2 linked regions of the Lytechinus pictus genome follow. The main gene of each other region encodes a partner of the protein of the gene in region 2 in a complex. Links are inferred from orthologs where the notes say so. Each region holds a gene or a part of one and is shown on either strand. Other genes may lie near its edges.

The links.
Region 1: crooked neck-like protein 1 (region 2) and G-patch domain and KOW motifs-containing protein-like share a complex: the UniProt entries of both Homo sapiens proteins name them as parts of the minor spliceosome. The link is inferred for Lytechinus pictus from reciprocal best matches to the Homo sapiens genes CRNKL1 and GPKOW.

What each region holds. Positions count from the first base shown.
Region 1 is NC_087247.1:30,698,784-30,706,175, forward strand, and holds the start of G-patch domain and KOW motifs-containing protein-like, read left to right. Parts: upstream 1-4,325; 5' UTR 4,326-4,452; coding exon 4,453-4,619; intron 4,620-7,392. UniProt on the Homo sapiens protein: RNA-binding protein involved in pre-mRNA splicing. As a component of the minor spliceosome, involved in the splicing of U12-type introns in pre-mRNAs.
Region 2 is NC_087251.1:43,100,255-43,107,418, reverse strand, and holds the start of crooked neck-like protein 1, read left to right. Parts: upstream 1-4,094; 5' UTR 4,095-4,230; coding exon 4,231-4,272; intron 4,273-7,164. Other genes in the region: cilia- and flagella-associated protein 61-like, read right to left, coding at 1,057-1,133, 1,751-1,901, 2,634-2,779. UniProt on the Homo sapiens protein: Involved in pre-mRNA splicing process. As a component of the minor spliceosome, involved in the splicing of U12-type introns in pre-mRNAs.

The sequences.
Region 1 (7,392 bases), on a different chromosome or scaffold from region 2:
ACACTTTTCTTTTAACCGGTTTTGAATGCACTTCTTTGAACCCCAGTCGGTTTTCATAATCACAATATTTTCAAATTGTATATGCATATCTTTAAACTTTAAAGGTATGCATTAAATTTGAATATATTTGAAGCAAATGTTGTTTTTGACAACCTGAAAGTTTGTCCAAGGCTTGTCTGACATAGCAACAAATAATACATGCAAACTGTCTTCTAACAGGAGATGTTTGAACATATTTAAAGCAAAGTTTGTTGGCTTTTTTAATGTTAATGTGGCCAGTAATGATATCATCATAAGCAAGATAAATTAATTTCGCCCTTAAAAAAAAAATTATCGACCATGTTGTTTCATCATGACTTTATTCAAGTTCAAAGACACTGATATACAATATATACATAAAGAGACCAGGTCCATCGTTTCCATTCCAAACAAATGGCAGGTCAGTACATGGATTACAAGACAAGTAATACGTATATATACCAATATAGATAATTATTTAGAGTAACATAAATGCAGGAAAATAATTAGTTAAAGCTGTCGTTGATATCACGTTGGAAAAAAAAACACTCAATCAGTCTTCTAAATCAGAGCTGGATATATAAATGGAATTAATCAACTACTGCATACAACCTGAAATGTACAGACAACATTACGAGAGGTGTTTTGTACCCAATTTCCACTACGGTATCTTCTTAATTATTATCATTATATATACGGCTGTGATCATTATATGTTTTTGTGTATTCAAATCAACTTAATTAGCTACTGACACAGAAAAGGTTTATGGTCATAAATTAAGGCTGATGAATTTGGAGATGACACCCCCTATAGTTCTAGGAGAAGAAGAAGACGAAGAAGAAGAAAAAGAAAGAGAAGAAGAAGAAGAAGAAGAAGAAAAAGAAGAAGAAAGAATTCGTACTCAATAATATCATCGTGCATATAGGCTTTATATATTGGGCAACATTATTTTTGCAGCCCTATTTCCCAGTCTTCGTTTTTTTGTCTCCTAGTTCATGTTATCAATTCGTCATCATACTCTATTGATAAATGATAGGGGCGTCTATCCATTTTTCAGAGGGGGGGGGGCAAAATCATGAATCAACGTTCCAAAGGCGCTCGATCACATAAAACAAACAAACTCACCCACACACCCACACACACGCACACATAGTTCTATATATATATGTGTATATATATATATGACTCATGAGAAAGACTGGGCGCTGTGGCCTGCGCCTGTAATCCAAGCTATGTGGGGGAAATTACAATTGTTACAGAGTTTCGAGGTTCGAGCCCTGGTCACGTCTTTCGGATGGTGACGTTAAAGGTCAGTCTCAGACGTAGATAATCATTTCTGATTGATACACGTCTGGAAAAATCAAACACACACACATCATGAGAAAGAGACACATATCTCACAAACAAATTTATGCGAGCGCAAAGCGCGAGCTGAATTTTTTTAGTATACTGACCTGAAAACAGGAAAAAAAGTACCTGTTTAGGACTGTTTGTAGTAACTCATGAGGAGGATACAATCTCACTACACAGATAATGCGAGAGCCGAGAGCGAGGTGAAATTTTGTTATATTCTGACATGAAAACTTGATATTATAAGCATTTTGGTACCAATGATTAAGATGAATACCTAAAAGAACAATAGATGCGAGCTGAAATTTTTTATATGCCAATCTGAAAAGTGGACATTTTGAGCACGATTTTAAATAAAGAACGAGTTGTCTATTTCAATCTCGCCTGCCGATTTCTGTGTAACATTACAATCTCATTTTATTTTTGAAAATCCGGAATTATTGGGGGGGGGGCAAAATGATTTATGTTCCCCCCTCCCAATATTTTTATTGGTGGGGCGATCGCCCCCCCCCCCCAGGATCGACGCCTCTGATAATTGATATCATTACATAAATATATTGCAACATAATCCATTACCTTATAATCCAGTAAAATAGGGGAGATTGGGGTTAGTTGGAACGCGGGGTAAGTTGAAACATTTTAATTTTCTTTAACGCCTTTAAATAAATTTATGCAATACTGCCCTCAATTTATTGCCATTATCAACAACCATCCACCATATTACAGACAACACATGTGCAACAAGCCTGGTGAAGTTAAAAAGGAATTTTAGTTTTTATCACCTGAGTATTTTTTTTTCTTTCAGAAATGTTTTATTATCTCAGAGAAGTTTATAGATCAAGTTGGCCAGTTTGGGGGTGTAACAGACACTTGAACCAAGCTACAAAATAAGGTTATTAAAGGTCAATCCACCTTAGGAAAATGCCGACTTGAATAAATAAAGAAAAATCAAACTAGAATAGTGCTGAAAATTTCATCAAAATCGGATGTAATATAAGAAAGCTATGACATTTTAAAGCTTCGCTTATTTTTCACAAAACGGTGAAATGCACAACTAGGTGAGTCAGTCGATGATGTCCATCACTCACTATTTCTTTTGTTTTTTATTGTTTGAATTATACAATATTTTATTTTTTATAGATTTGACAATAAGGACCAACTTGACTGAACCATATAGTATTGACTATTGAACAATGCTATTTCCATATGTTCAGGGAGAAATTAATCGATGTATCACTTGACAATGAGGAGAAAATTAGAATATTTCATATTTCATAGAATAAAATACAAAAGAAATAGTGAGTGGATGACGCCATAGTCTCCTCATTTGCATACCAGCCAGGATGTGCATATAACTGTTTTGTGAAATTAAGCGAAAAAATGTCATAACTTTCTTATTTTACATCCAATTTTGATGAAATTTTCAAATCAACTTTTTGTTGGGGTGGACGGTGGACTTGTCCTTTAATATGCCACGGTGAAGTCCTTTTTTGTGCTGTAAGCTTATAATTGTCAAATGGGCCTCTGGGGTTTGTGGGAACAAAATTGAAAGGGCTATTTGGAACATGTTCCAACTTACCATAAAACATAATTATGAATAAAAACATTGGATATAAAAAATGTATACAGCATTTCACACTCTTCTGAACATTGTATCGAAAGCCATGCTTATTTAGGTCTGAGTGTGCATTTAAGGCCTCTTGTAGGCCCCTAATGCAAAATTAACCCTTATCAAACTGGGGGGGGGGAGCGGTCGGTCAATTTGAGCCCCCCTCGCCAAATTTTGTCACTACGCCGTCGCGCGAACTTTTTTGACCGCACCGCTCACTGACTTTTTAATGTCAAGTCTTGTGAATCATTTGAGACCAATTTGCGATGCCCGGGTGCCCGGTTCTGAAATTACGCAACATTTTGTTAGTGCATGTCGGACCCAGAATTGCTCAAAAACGTGATTAAAAAAATCATAAATGTATGATTACTTTTACTTTTGTCGGTTCAAATGGATTTATTTCATGCTATTTATGATCGCAAAAAGGTCCCTGACAAACTGAAGTTCATCGGAAAAAACAATAAAAAACAGAGGTTCGAAAAAACAAAATTAATACAAATTAAAAATACAAAAAATACATAAGAAATTATATTTTTTGCAATTTTTTTGTAGATATTTGTTATAAATGTAAAAAAAATGTAAAAATTAGTATTTTACATGTACCAGATAAATAAATTCAGTTAAAGGAAAAAACATTTTTTTTAAATTAGGGCAAATTTCATACCTGCATATTTGCATAATTAATTAATTAGAAAATATTACCAATTAATTTTGTCATGTAAATTTGATGCAGAAGTACATGAAATTGCTGATACACTTTATTGCATGTAAAATCAAACGCACACAAATACGCGAAATTCTACTACACTGACATTCGGCTTGCGTGAGTGGCTGTATAATAGAAAACATAAAGTTCAACAAATCAGAATACACACTTTTAATATTTTGAACTTGAAAAAAACAAAGTGATTAGGCTAGAACCATGTAATATTACAGTTGTAAGTAGTTTTAGTATAATTCTTAATTGACCATGCAGTGTTCCAACTGAACTTACCCCATACCATGTTCCAACTTACCACGTATATGGGGTAAGTTGGAACTTGCGATGGTCTTGTTCAAAATAGATTTTTTTTTTTTTTTAGTAACCATCACAGAGTTAAAAAAATTATGGGGTACATTTTATTTTGAAGCCCTTAGATATGTGCTTTAAGCTGATATATTGATTGTTTCTCGAATAAAATCTATTTAGATTTTACAGTCATTTTTGTCATAAATGTTCCAACTAATCCCAATCTCCCCTAAAGTCATTATTTGGGGGAGGGAGGGGGCGAGAATCGCGTTACCCTCTCTCTCTCGCTTCAGTTCCTCCGTTGTTCGGAGATCGGCAGGTATATCACTGCAAAAGTTGAGTCAATGAGTCTGGTAAATGTCAAGTCGACAGGGATTGAAATACTAGTACCGTAACTTTTTTCTCCTTCAATTTTTTCCATCTACTTCACCATATCAGAGAGACGGTGGACGACTCAATTTCGAAAATGGAATCTGACGAAGGGGAGAAGAAGAAAGGATTTTCCTTTTCCTTTGCCAAGAAGAAACAAGAAACGAAAACTCTAGAATCTAAAAATATCGGTGAGGCTGAAATTTTGGAAAATAAGACCGAAACGGACTACATTTTATCAGTAGACTCAAAGAAAGTAACAAGGTACGTTCACCAGCCTCAGTTTCAGTTCGTCAGCGGCTCGCCTCAGGCTCAGCGTGGACTTCTGCCGGAACCCACCCGGCGATATTCCAGGCATGAGAGGCTCCGCCACCTCAGTACCGCTTCGCAGGATTTATAATTGAAAATTTTAGATTATGCTCGCAATATTTTTGATATAGGAACCTAGTGCCTAGAAGGCCCTAGATCTATGTCTAGCTGGTCATATTTCCGAATCAATATAACAGTAGAATTTTAAGTAGGCCTAGGCCCCTAATCAGTTTTTGCTTTTTTGGCATGTTTGGAATTGGAGACTCATTTGAAAAAACAACAACAACAACAACAACAACAAAAAATTGAACAACAAGGCACAGGCCGACAGAAGGGGGGGGGGGGAGTGGGGCCACTTCCATTGACAAGCGGATACCATGCGCGACCATGGGGTCTCGAAAAGCACCCTAATCACGTATTTTCCATATTCTGAAAATGCACCCCTCAACAAGTATTGGCGTGTGAAACCCTAACCTTACATGCCTTGGCATTTGAAACAAAACGATACTATTGGCAAGTATTCCCTGAATTGAACCCCTAAACAAGTACAGCGATATTTCAAAATATTACATCACGGACATCGATTTTACCTATATCATTAGGTTTAGTACAGCCCCACCTCCCACACCTCATGCAAATCGTACTCTTGGGGAAAATAGTATATTCTTTATAAAACATTTTAGTCTTAATTTTTTATGGGGCGTCGTGGTCTAGTGGTTACGAAGCTCGTCTTTCAATGAGAGGGACGTGGGTTCGAATCTCAGCCACGGCGTGTTTTCCTTCAGCAAGAAATTTATCCACATTGTGCTGCACTCAACCCAGGTGAGGTGAATGGGTACCCAGCAGGATTAATTCCTTGAATGCACCAAGCGCCTTTAGCAGCTGGAGCTACAGCTGGGGTAATATATAGTGCGCCATTGAATAGGAAACTAGATAAATCGGCACCTCATAAATGCTCTATATTATTATACCCTCGCAAATTTGACCCTAAACTCGTAGCTTTCTTAGCGAAAACAAATACCTTTTTGTCTCACCTGCATAGCAGAGTGAGACTATAGGCGCCGCTTTTCCGACGGCGACGGCGGCGTCAACACCAAATCTTAACCTGAGGTTAAGTTTTTGAAATGACAGCATAACTTAGAAAGTATATGGACCTAGTTCATGAAACTTGGCCATAAGGTTTATCAAGTATTACTGAACATCCTGCCTGAGTTTCATGTCACATGACCAAGGTCAAAGGTCATTTACGGTCAATGAACTTAGACCATGTTGGGGGAATCAACATCAAAATCTTAACCTAAGGTTAAGTTTTTGAAATGTCATCATAACTTAGAAAATATATGGACCTAGTTCATGAAACTTATACATAAGGTTAATCAAGTATCACTAAACATCCTGCATGAGTTTCACGTCACATGACCAAGGTCAAAGGTCATTTAGGGTCAATGAACTTTGGCCGAATTGGGGGTATCTGTTGAATTACCATCATAACTTTGAAAGTTTATGGATCTGATTCATGAAACTTGGACATAATAGTAATCAAGTATTACTGAACATCCTGTGCAAGTTTCAGGTCACATGATCAAGGTCAAAGGTCATTTAGGGTCAATGAACTTTGGCCAAATTGGGGTATTTGTTGAATTACAGCCATAAATTTGAAAGTGTGTTGTTCTAGTTCATAAAACTTGGACATAATAGTAATCAAGTATCACTGAACATCCTGTGCGAGTTTCAGGTCACATGATCAAGGTCAAAGGTCATGTAAGGTCAAAGAACTTTGGCCACGTTGGGGGTATTTGTTGAATTGCCATCATATCTCTATAAGTGTATTGGTCTAGTTCATAAAACGTGGAAATAAGAGTAACCAAGTATCACTGAACATCTTGTGCGAGTTATAGTAGTTTTCAAAATCAGCACTGCTGCTATATTGAATCGCGTGATGCAGGTGAGACGGCCAGAGGCATTCCACTTGTTTCATTATTTTAGTGTTTTTGACACCCTTATTACTTGAAAAAGACATCCTTTTTATGTGTTTTTTTTTTGGTCGTGCATGGATCCACTCGACAATGTAATTGGCCTCCCTGGGGAACAAGGTTATGATATAACATTTCTCTGTTACTACTCCCTGTGTGGTGAAATAAGGTTGGCAATGTTTGGCTTATTTTCTCTTTTTTTCTTTGGAACAAATGCTTGATTTTTTGACACTGTCAGTTTCCATTACAGCTATTCATCATATAACTTTGCTCTAAAGTAAATCTGATTCTTAAAATTATTTTTTCTCAATTAAAAATAGAGATTGAAAAATGACAATTGTCTTGTCACATTTGTTTCCACCAATATAGGGCGTACACAAAAATATGCCAAAAATTCAAGTTTTCGAGCGCTCTGGTGAATACAAAAATTACTCCCAAGTTACTAATGAAAAATAAATTGTATGGAAATTAGTATTTTTGGTCACAAAAGAGATATTTTAATGATTTTTTAAATTGTGTGCTGTGTACAGCATTGGCATACCATAGTCTTAAACTGTAGATTCCCCACAGGCAGGATGGTAATGAACCCTTGAGTGGTTTGGAGTTTGCTCAAGCCAAGAATCGTGGCAAGCCTCAAAGTCAAGGCAAGCTGGAGCTTTATTTAAGTTTAAGGCTCCATCCCAGCAGTAAAAATTCATTTTTGAGGGCTTACGTAAGCATAATGAATGTTCGATGATTGATCTAAATCATCAAGG
Region 2 (7,164 bases):
TGTTTTGACGGAAATGTATTTATTTGGCTACTTGGTAACAATGCAACAGTGTCTTGTTGCATAAAAAGTTACTATTATGGTACCATTCAATGGGAACTTTGCTGAAATCCTTGATTTTGATTGGCTGTTGATCAGCGTCATCATGGTAATTACCATTGGATGGTAACTTTCATGCAACGGGACCCAGGTAGTGAATGTAATAGTGCGTTATTATTCAAGTGAGACGATATCAGAAGACTAAGCTTCTCAGAATGTTGCAGTGTGGGTAAACTTTAAAGCATTGATTTGAGTAGTTGAGGACTTGATGTGGCGCTATACAAGCATGCTGGTTTGAACTGGCTTTAATATAATAATATAATTTTGCATTGCTAAGAATGGAATATACTGTATATATGTATTTTTTTCTTTTGAAAAGATAGGTAGTAAACCTATGGCAGCTGTGTTTAATGGCTTTGCTGAAAAAAATGAAACTTTACGAATAACAGGGTTTCATTATACATCTATCCTCAATAATAATGATGATAATAATAATAATAGGCATTTAAATAGCGCCAGCTATCTACAAATAATCTGTTCCGGGGTGCATTATGTATAATTATTATTACCCCCAGCTTTAGCTTGAGCTGCCTTTCAGCGCTCAGTACATTCAAGGTATTGATTCTACTGGGTGCCCAGTCACCTCACCTGGGTTGAGTGCAGCACAATGAGGGCAAATTTCTTGCTGAAAGAAAACACACCTTGATTGGGATTCGAACCCACGTCCCTCAGATTGAAAGACGAGATTCGTAACCACTAGAGTACCACGCCCCCACATCTTCCATTCTTTCACTACAGCTCCTTGATTTACATGCATTCTTCATTAAATGATAGAAGGATGTATTAGGTAATGTATCAGAAAAAAATCAAAGTGAAAAGAATACTGATATATATCACAACTCTTTAAAGGTGAAACATATGTCCACATAATTTGGAAAATGCTAGGTTAAACAAGTTAAAGTATCCTCAATAACAGGTATTTTACAAGAGAGGCTAAATGCTTTAAAATGATGAACTTACCTAATGATCTCTTTAGCACTCCCATGGGCAAATGCAGGTTTGGCCACAAAGTAATGTAGAAACAGTGTGTTCAAGGGCTGTGAACAAAATAACACACACACTTCCCTAATGAAGTATCATCATGTCTTGCAGATAACTGGACATATTTCACATTTAACTTTATTATAAAAAAAAAGGATTATTGGCAAATGACTCGAAACATAATGCTTCTGTTAACCACTGGCACTTGGACATTTCACGAATATGATCATCAATTCAAAGCACATACACATTTCAGACACATTCCCAATATATATATCTAATATATAAATGGTTTCATTTCTTTGAGAAAGATCTGGATATCCATCATTCACATCATCATCAATACATGTATATAACTGTAAGCACACATAAACCAAATAGTGAAGAATTTTTTTTGTGAGATAAATTTGCTTGAAGTAGGCACTGGTATAATGAGATAAAACAGATGCTTAATGAACCATTCTACATCAGGCAATTTTGTTTTATTTTGGGGGCTACTTTTTTTAATGAATTTCTAATTCTGCAACCTTGGATTAGCTTTATTATTGCAATGAATGGAGATTTCCAAGGCTCTTTTCTGAGTTTCTAGGCCTCTTTTGAGCTTTTTGGTGGCAAAATCGCCTCAAGCCCCCGTGTAATTTTCTCCATTTTACACCACGTATGATGAACTTACTGTGCATGCTTCTGTATCATAGTATGTATTGAGCCATTGTTGCCATTCCCCGTGATCTACAGAATCCACGTTAGGATAGTCAAAGAACGCAGCATGGGCAAGGATGTCTTCTCTTTCATTGTTGAGGGTCACTGCCAGGACTGCTTTTTCACTGTATGTGAAGCAAAAATGTAATGTGAAACAAGAATGTAAGTAAATAAAGTATAATTCCTGTCTGACATCTTCACAAAATAATGAAATATGTGAATGCAAGTTGTGTTCAGAAATTCAAATGTATACAAGATTTCATTCATTTTGTTCCATTTTCTCTCAGATTATTCCCATTCTTTTCAAGGCCATGAAATTTTACACCATATTTTATAATTTCTTTTATTTTAATGGACTTCAGGTACTGGTACATGTACAAGATAACACATTCAAAGCTTGGTCTGTTGAAGACTATTATGGAGCAATAGATCAATGAGCTCAATGATCGGATATTTTACTGTACATATAATAGGTAGTAGTAAACAGATAATTGTCTTTCTGTAGAATTCTTTATCAACATTGACATTCTCAGACTTTCCCCATCAAGGCTATCAGTTTCAATATTGATATTGATTCCCAAGAAAAGCCATGACTGATGATATTTCTTAGTTATTGTGTGTGGCTTCTAATAAAACCCAATGCATTGTAATAAAGCTTTATTCCTTGTAGCACTTTGAGTGTCAGCACCTTGGAAGAAAGTAAACAAACATGTAAACCTACCGATCGAAACTGAATGAACAAAATAAAAAAATCACTGAATTTATTTAACATGATACAATGTGATAGCACTATACAAAAACATACATCATCATTGTTATTATTTTTATTATTACATTCATAAATGTGAAATGCTTACATGATATTCACAACATCCACCAATCCGAACTGTGGCTGAGTTGATTTGGTAACCAGCTTCAGGATATTTGGAGCATCAAGTGATTCTGTTCGTCTAGCATTGATCACTTCGGTCGGTCCATCTGCTGACTGGACAACAGTAGCCATTTTTACTTTTTCCTGCAAGACTAAAGAGATTCAGATTGATTACCAGGTGATAGCTGTGTAGGCCTATTCTATGTGTCACTGAGAAAGGAACATAAGTCTTAGAAATAATTCTAGTCTATTATGAGAATGAGGAAACCCATCGTTATTTTTAGTGAACACACGTTGTCCACAGCTTCAAGAATTTACTAACAAAAAAAGTTAAATATTAGAGATACGAACGAGTGAAATTAAACTTCGATGCTGACCCACCGAAACAGGGCATGATCACGCCAACCAAGTCAAAGAACATAATTTGGATCTGAATAAATATAACATCGACTCCGACATGAGCTGCTTACGTACTGGATCATGATGGATGCTACTTCAGGCGATAGTTCGTATATAGGCTCCACTACGCTTCACTAGCTACTGCTACCCTCCGCTATATTACCTGAAGGTTCAGGTACATGTAACTGTTAGGTGTAGCGGAGGGTAGCGGTAGTGAAGACTGAAGTGCAACTTAGTGGAGCCTACACGAACCATCGCCCGAGGTAGATCTAGACAGTTGACGGTTGACGGCTGACGGATGCCAATGTTTTTTGCCAATATTGGCCAAATTGGGGGATTTTTTTTTTTTGAAAAGAACTTTCTCAACATTAAAGTTTAACTGATGATAATTTCATGATTTTGAACCTCCCCTCCCGGCTCCCCTGCCCCGCCCCCAGTCGCTCTTCTTGACCGGTTTAAGGGATCTTAACTTGGTTGAGCTCTGCGGCCTTCTCAAGTTAGGTCCTTGGCCTGGGTGGGAGTCGCACGATCACGACACTCCAATGGCATAGACAGTCCAGACACCAGCAGCGGCGGGAAGCAAGCACACGCGCGGTCACGGGCCCCGACTGGCACTCTCTGAGACTGTCGACGCGACGTCCACGGTCGGTTAATTCAAACATTCCATTCTTTCACAAGGTTTTTATTCACATTTATTAATATTCAAAATCACGCATACACAAACAGAAATCAATACACAAGGACATTATATTGAATTCATTATATGAAATAACATACACACCCTTATTCTTAACTTCTACAAAATTGTGTTCGATCCGTGAAAAAAAATTAAAGGGTGAGATCTAGCATATTTTTAGCGGCGGTAGCTCTATGGCAACAAAACTCTTAATTATGTGACTAAAAAAATACAACTACATATTTAAAAAATAATAAAATCTTGTACAAAAAATTAAATTTATCTTTTTTAATATTTTTATGGCTACGATTTAGAGGTTATGAATGCATGTAAGAGTTATGAATATTTTAATACCTTTTTAGTTTTTTATTTACTCGAACAAGCCATATTTCAAAGCGCCATCTCCGTCTAACTGCTTTTTGTAGATTCGCTTCCGAGGAAAAAAAACTGAAAAAACTTGAAACTAATCGACGATTTTCATGGTCTTGACGCTCATACTATCATAAACATGGCTTCTTCTAGCAAAAGTAAAGTTCCCAAAGTTGCGAAGGTAAGTTTCCTTTAAATTGCTTCATTCAATAATAACTAAATAATTGATTGCAATTTCTCCAAAAAATATAACACGCTATGAATGTGAACAAAGATCAGTTGTTATTCCGGTCAGGATAAAGTTAGGGTAAACTCGTATCGTCATTGATGTTTTTCTTTAATTTACATGTAACGTTAGAGTAAAGTGGCCAACAACAAAAAATAATTGAATCAAATAAAAATCGTGTTTATTTCCTTAGTATAAATGTTGAATATTTCCATTAAAAAATAAAAATGCAAATTGAAAAAATGATGATGGTTAACAGAATTGCATAATTATTTAGGATGGGGTAGCCAGGCGGCTTCAAAGTTAGAGAGTAAAAATCATTTACTAACGTAAGGTCACTCTCGTACGAAGCCAGGCCTTCTATCCCATAGACCCACACAATGGAAGCCAAAACCTGAAACTTTCACCCCCGAGATTTCTACTTTCCTTCTAAAAGATCTAGCCTTCTAGGCCTAGCTCTAATTCTAAATCATGTATGATGGGGGGACCTAAAAGCTACGCACTTTGTTTTCAAACAATAAAAACTATCCCAATTTTAATATTTCAACAAATATCTTTCACTAATTTGTGGCAAACATTCTAAAGATCATTAACCAAGAAGAAAATATCGCAAAACTCACTAATACGAAAATCCCGCCGTGTTTTCCGAACCGGTATTTTATAGATGGCAAATATAGCGATCTTCAACGCTTATATATAAGCGTCGAAATTTGTAGCCATCTCCTTGTATTAGTCTATATTATACGACGTGTCAAATTGTAGCGAACTAGTTCGCTATTTCCAGATCTCCTCTATATATATATACACGACGGGAAATTGTAGCGTGTAGCGAACTAGTTCGCTATTTTCCAGATCTCCTGTATATACATACGATGGGAAATTGTAGCGAACTAGTTCGCTATTTTCCAGATCTCCTCTATATATATATACACGACGGGAAATTGTAGCGAACTAGTTCGCTATTTTCCAGATCTCCTATATATACATACGATGGGAAATTGTAGCGAACTAGTTCGCTATTTTCCAGATCTCCTCTTAACGACGGGAAATTGTAGCGAACTAGTTCGCTATTTTCCAGATCTCCTCTATATACATACGATGGGAAATTGTAGCGAACTAGTTCGCTATTTTCCAATTCTCCTCTATGTATACGATGGGAAATTGTAGCGAACTAGTTCGCTATTTTCCAGATCTCCTCTATATATATATACACGACGGGAAATTGTAGCGAACTAGTTCGCTATTTTCCAGATCTCCTGTATATACATACGATGGGAAATTGTAGCGAACTAGTTCGCTATTTTCCAGATCTCCTCTTAACGACGGGAAATTGTAGCGAACTAGTTCGCTATTTTCCAGATCTCCTCTATATACATACGATGGGAAATTGTAGCGAACTAGTTCGCTATTTTCCAGATCTCCTCTATATACATACGACGGGAAATTGTAGCGAACTAGTTCGCTACAATTTCCCGTCGTGTATATATATATAGAGGAGATCTGGAAAATAGCGAACTAGTTCGCTACAATTTCCCATCGTATACATAGAGGAGAATTGGAAAATAGCGAACTAGTTCGCTACAATTTCCCATCGTATGTATATAGAGGAGATCTGGAAAATAGCGAACTAGTTCGCTACAATTTCCCGTCGTTAAGAGGAGATCTGGAAAATAGCGAACTAGTTCGCTACAATTTCCCATCGTATGTATATATAGGAGATCTGGAAAATAGCGAACTAGTTCGCTACAATTTCCCGTCGTGTATATATATATACAGGAGATCTGGAAAATAGCGAACTAGTTCGCTACAATTTCCCATCGTATGTATATACAGGAGATCTGGAAAATAGCGAACTAGTTCGCTACAATTTCCCGTCGTGTATATATATATATAGAGGAGATCTGGAAATAGCGAACTAGTTCGCTACAATTTCCCGTCGTATGTATATAGAGGAGATCTGGAAAATAGCGAACTAGTTCGCTACAATTTCCCGTCGTGTATATATATATAGAGGAGATCTGGAAATAGCGAACTAGTTCGCTACAATTTGACACGTCGTATAATATAGACTAATACAAGGAGATGGCTACAAATTTCGACGCTTATATATAAGCGTTTAAGATCGCTATATTTGCCATCTTATAATTTCCCTTTCCGAACACCTTGATTTCGCCACCCGATGTAGAAGGGGTCCTAAAGCTACGCACTCGATTTATCATGCAAAAAAATAGTATTTCCTGTGCCTCAATTTCTAGAATATATTCATAATATTTTAGGATAAAATGAAATTTAAGTGAATATAACTCTAAAATTCCAAAAAGTTTTTGGTTTTCTCTGCATTTAGAGATTTACTGCAGCCTCTGTAGAAGAAAATGAATAGGAATCGTTCGTCACACTGCAGTCACAGTTCCACACACAGAGTGCGCATTTGCCATTAAAAACTGCATGCGCGATTAGTGGTGCATAGCTTTAGGACCCGCGTAGCTTTAGGACCCCCTACCATACATTGGATAAAACTTCATTTCCGACATTTCTACACTCTCGTTGTTATTTTTAAAACAAGAATTCATCAAAAAAATGAAAAAATATTGTGAAAAGACGGAAGAGACTTGCCCGATGTTTACGCCGCCATCTTGTTTCTTATTGTACTTCCCCAACGTTACGCGACGCTCGCGTCCGTAACGTTGGGGAAGTACAAATTTTACTGCACACAGCAAAATTTTTTGCCCTTTTCACCGCATTCACAACACCCAAAAATGGTCATGGTTTTGAGAGAAAAATCAAAGTTCAACGCATTTCTGACATATGATCCCGTTATCCAAATTAGATGATTTTGGTAGGGTGTCT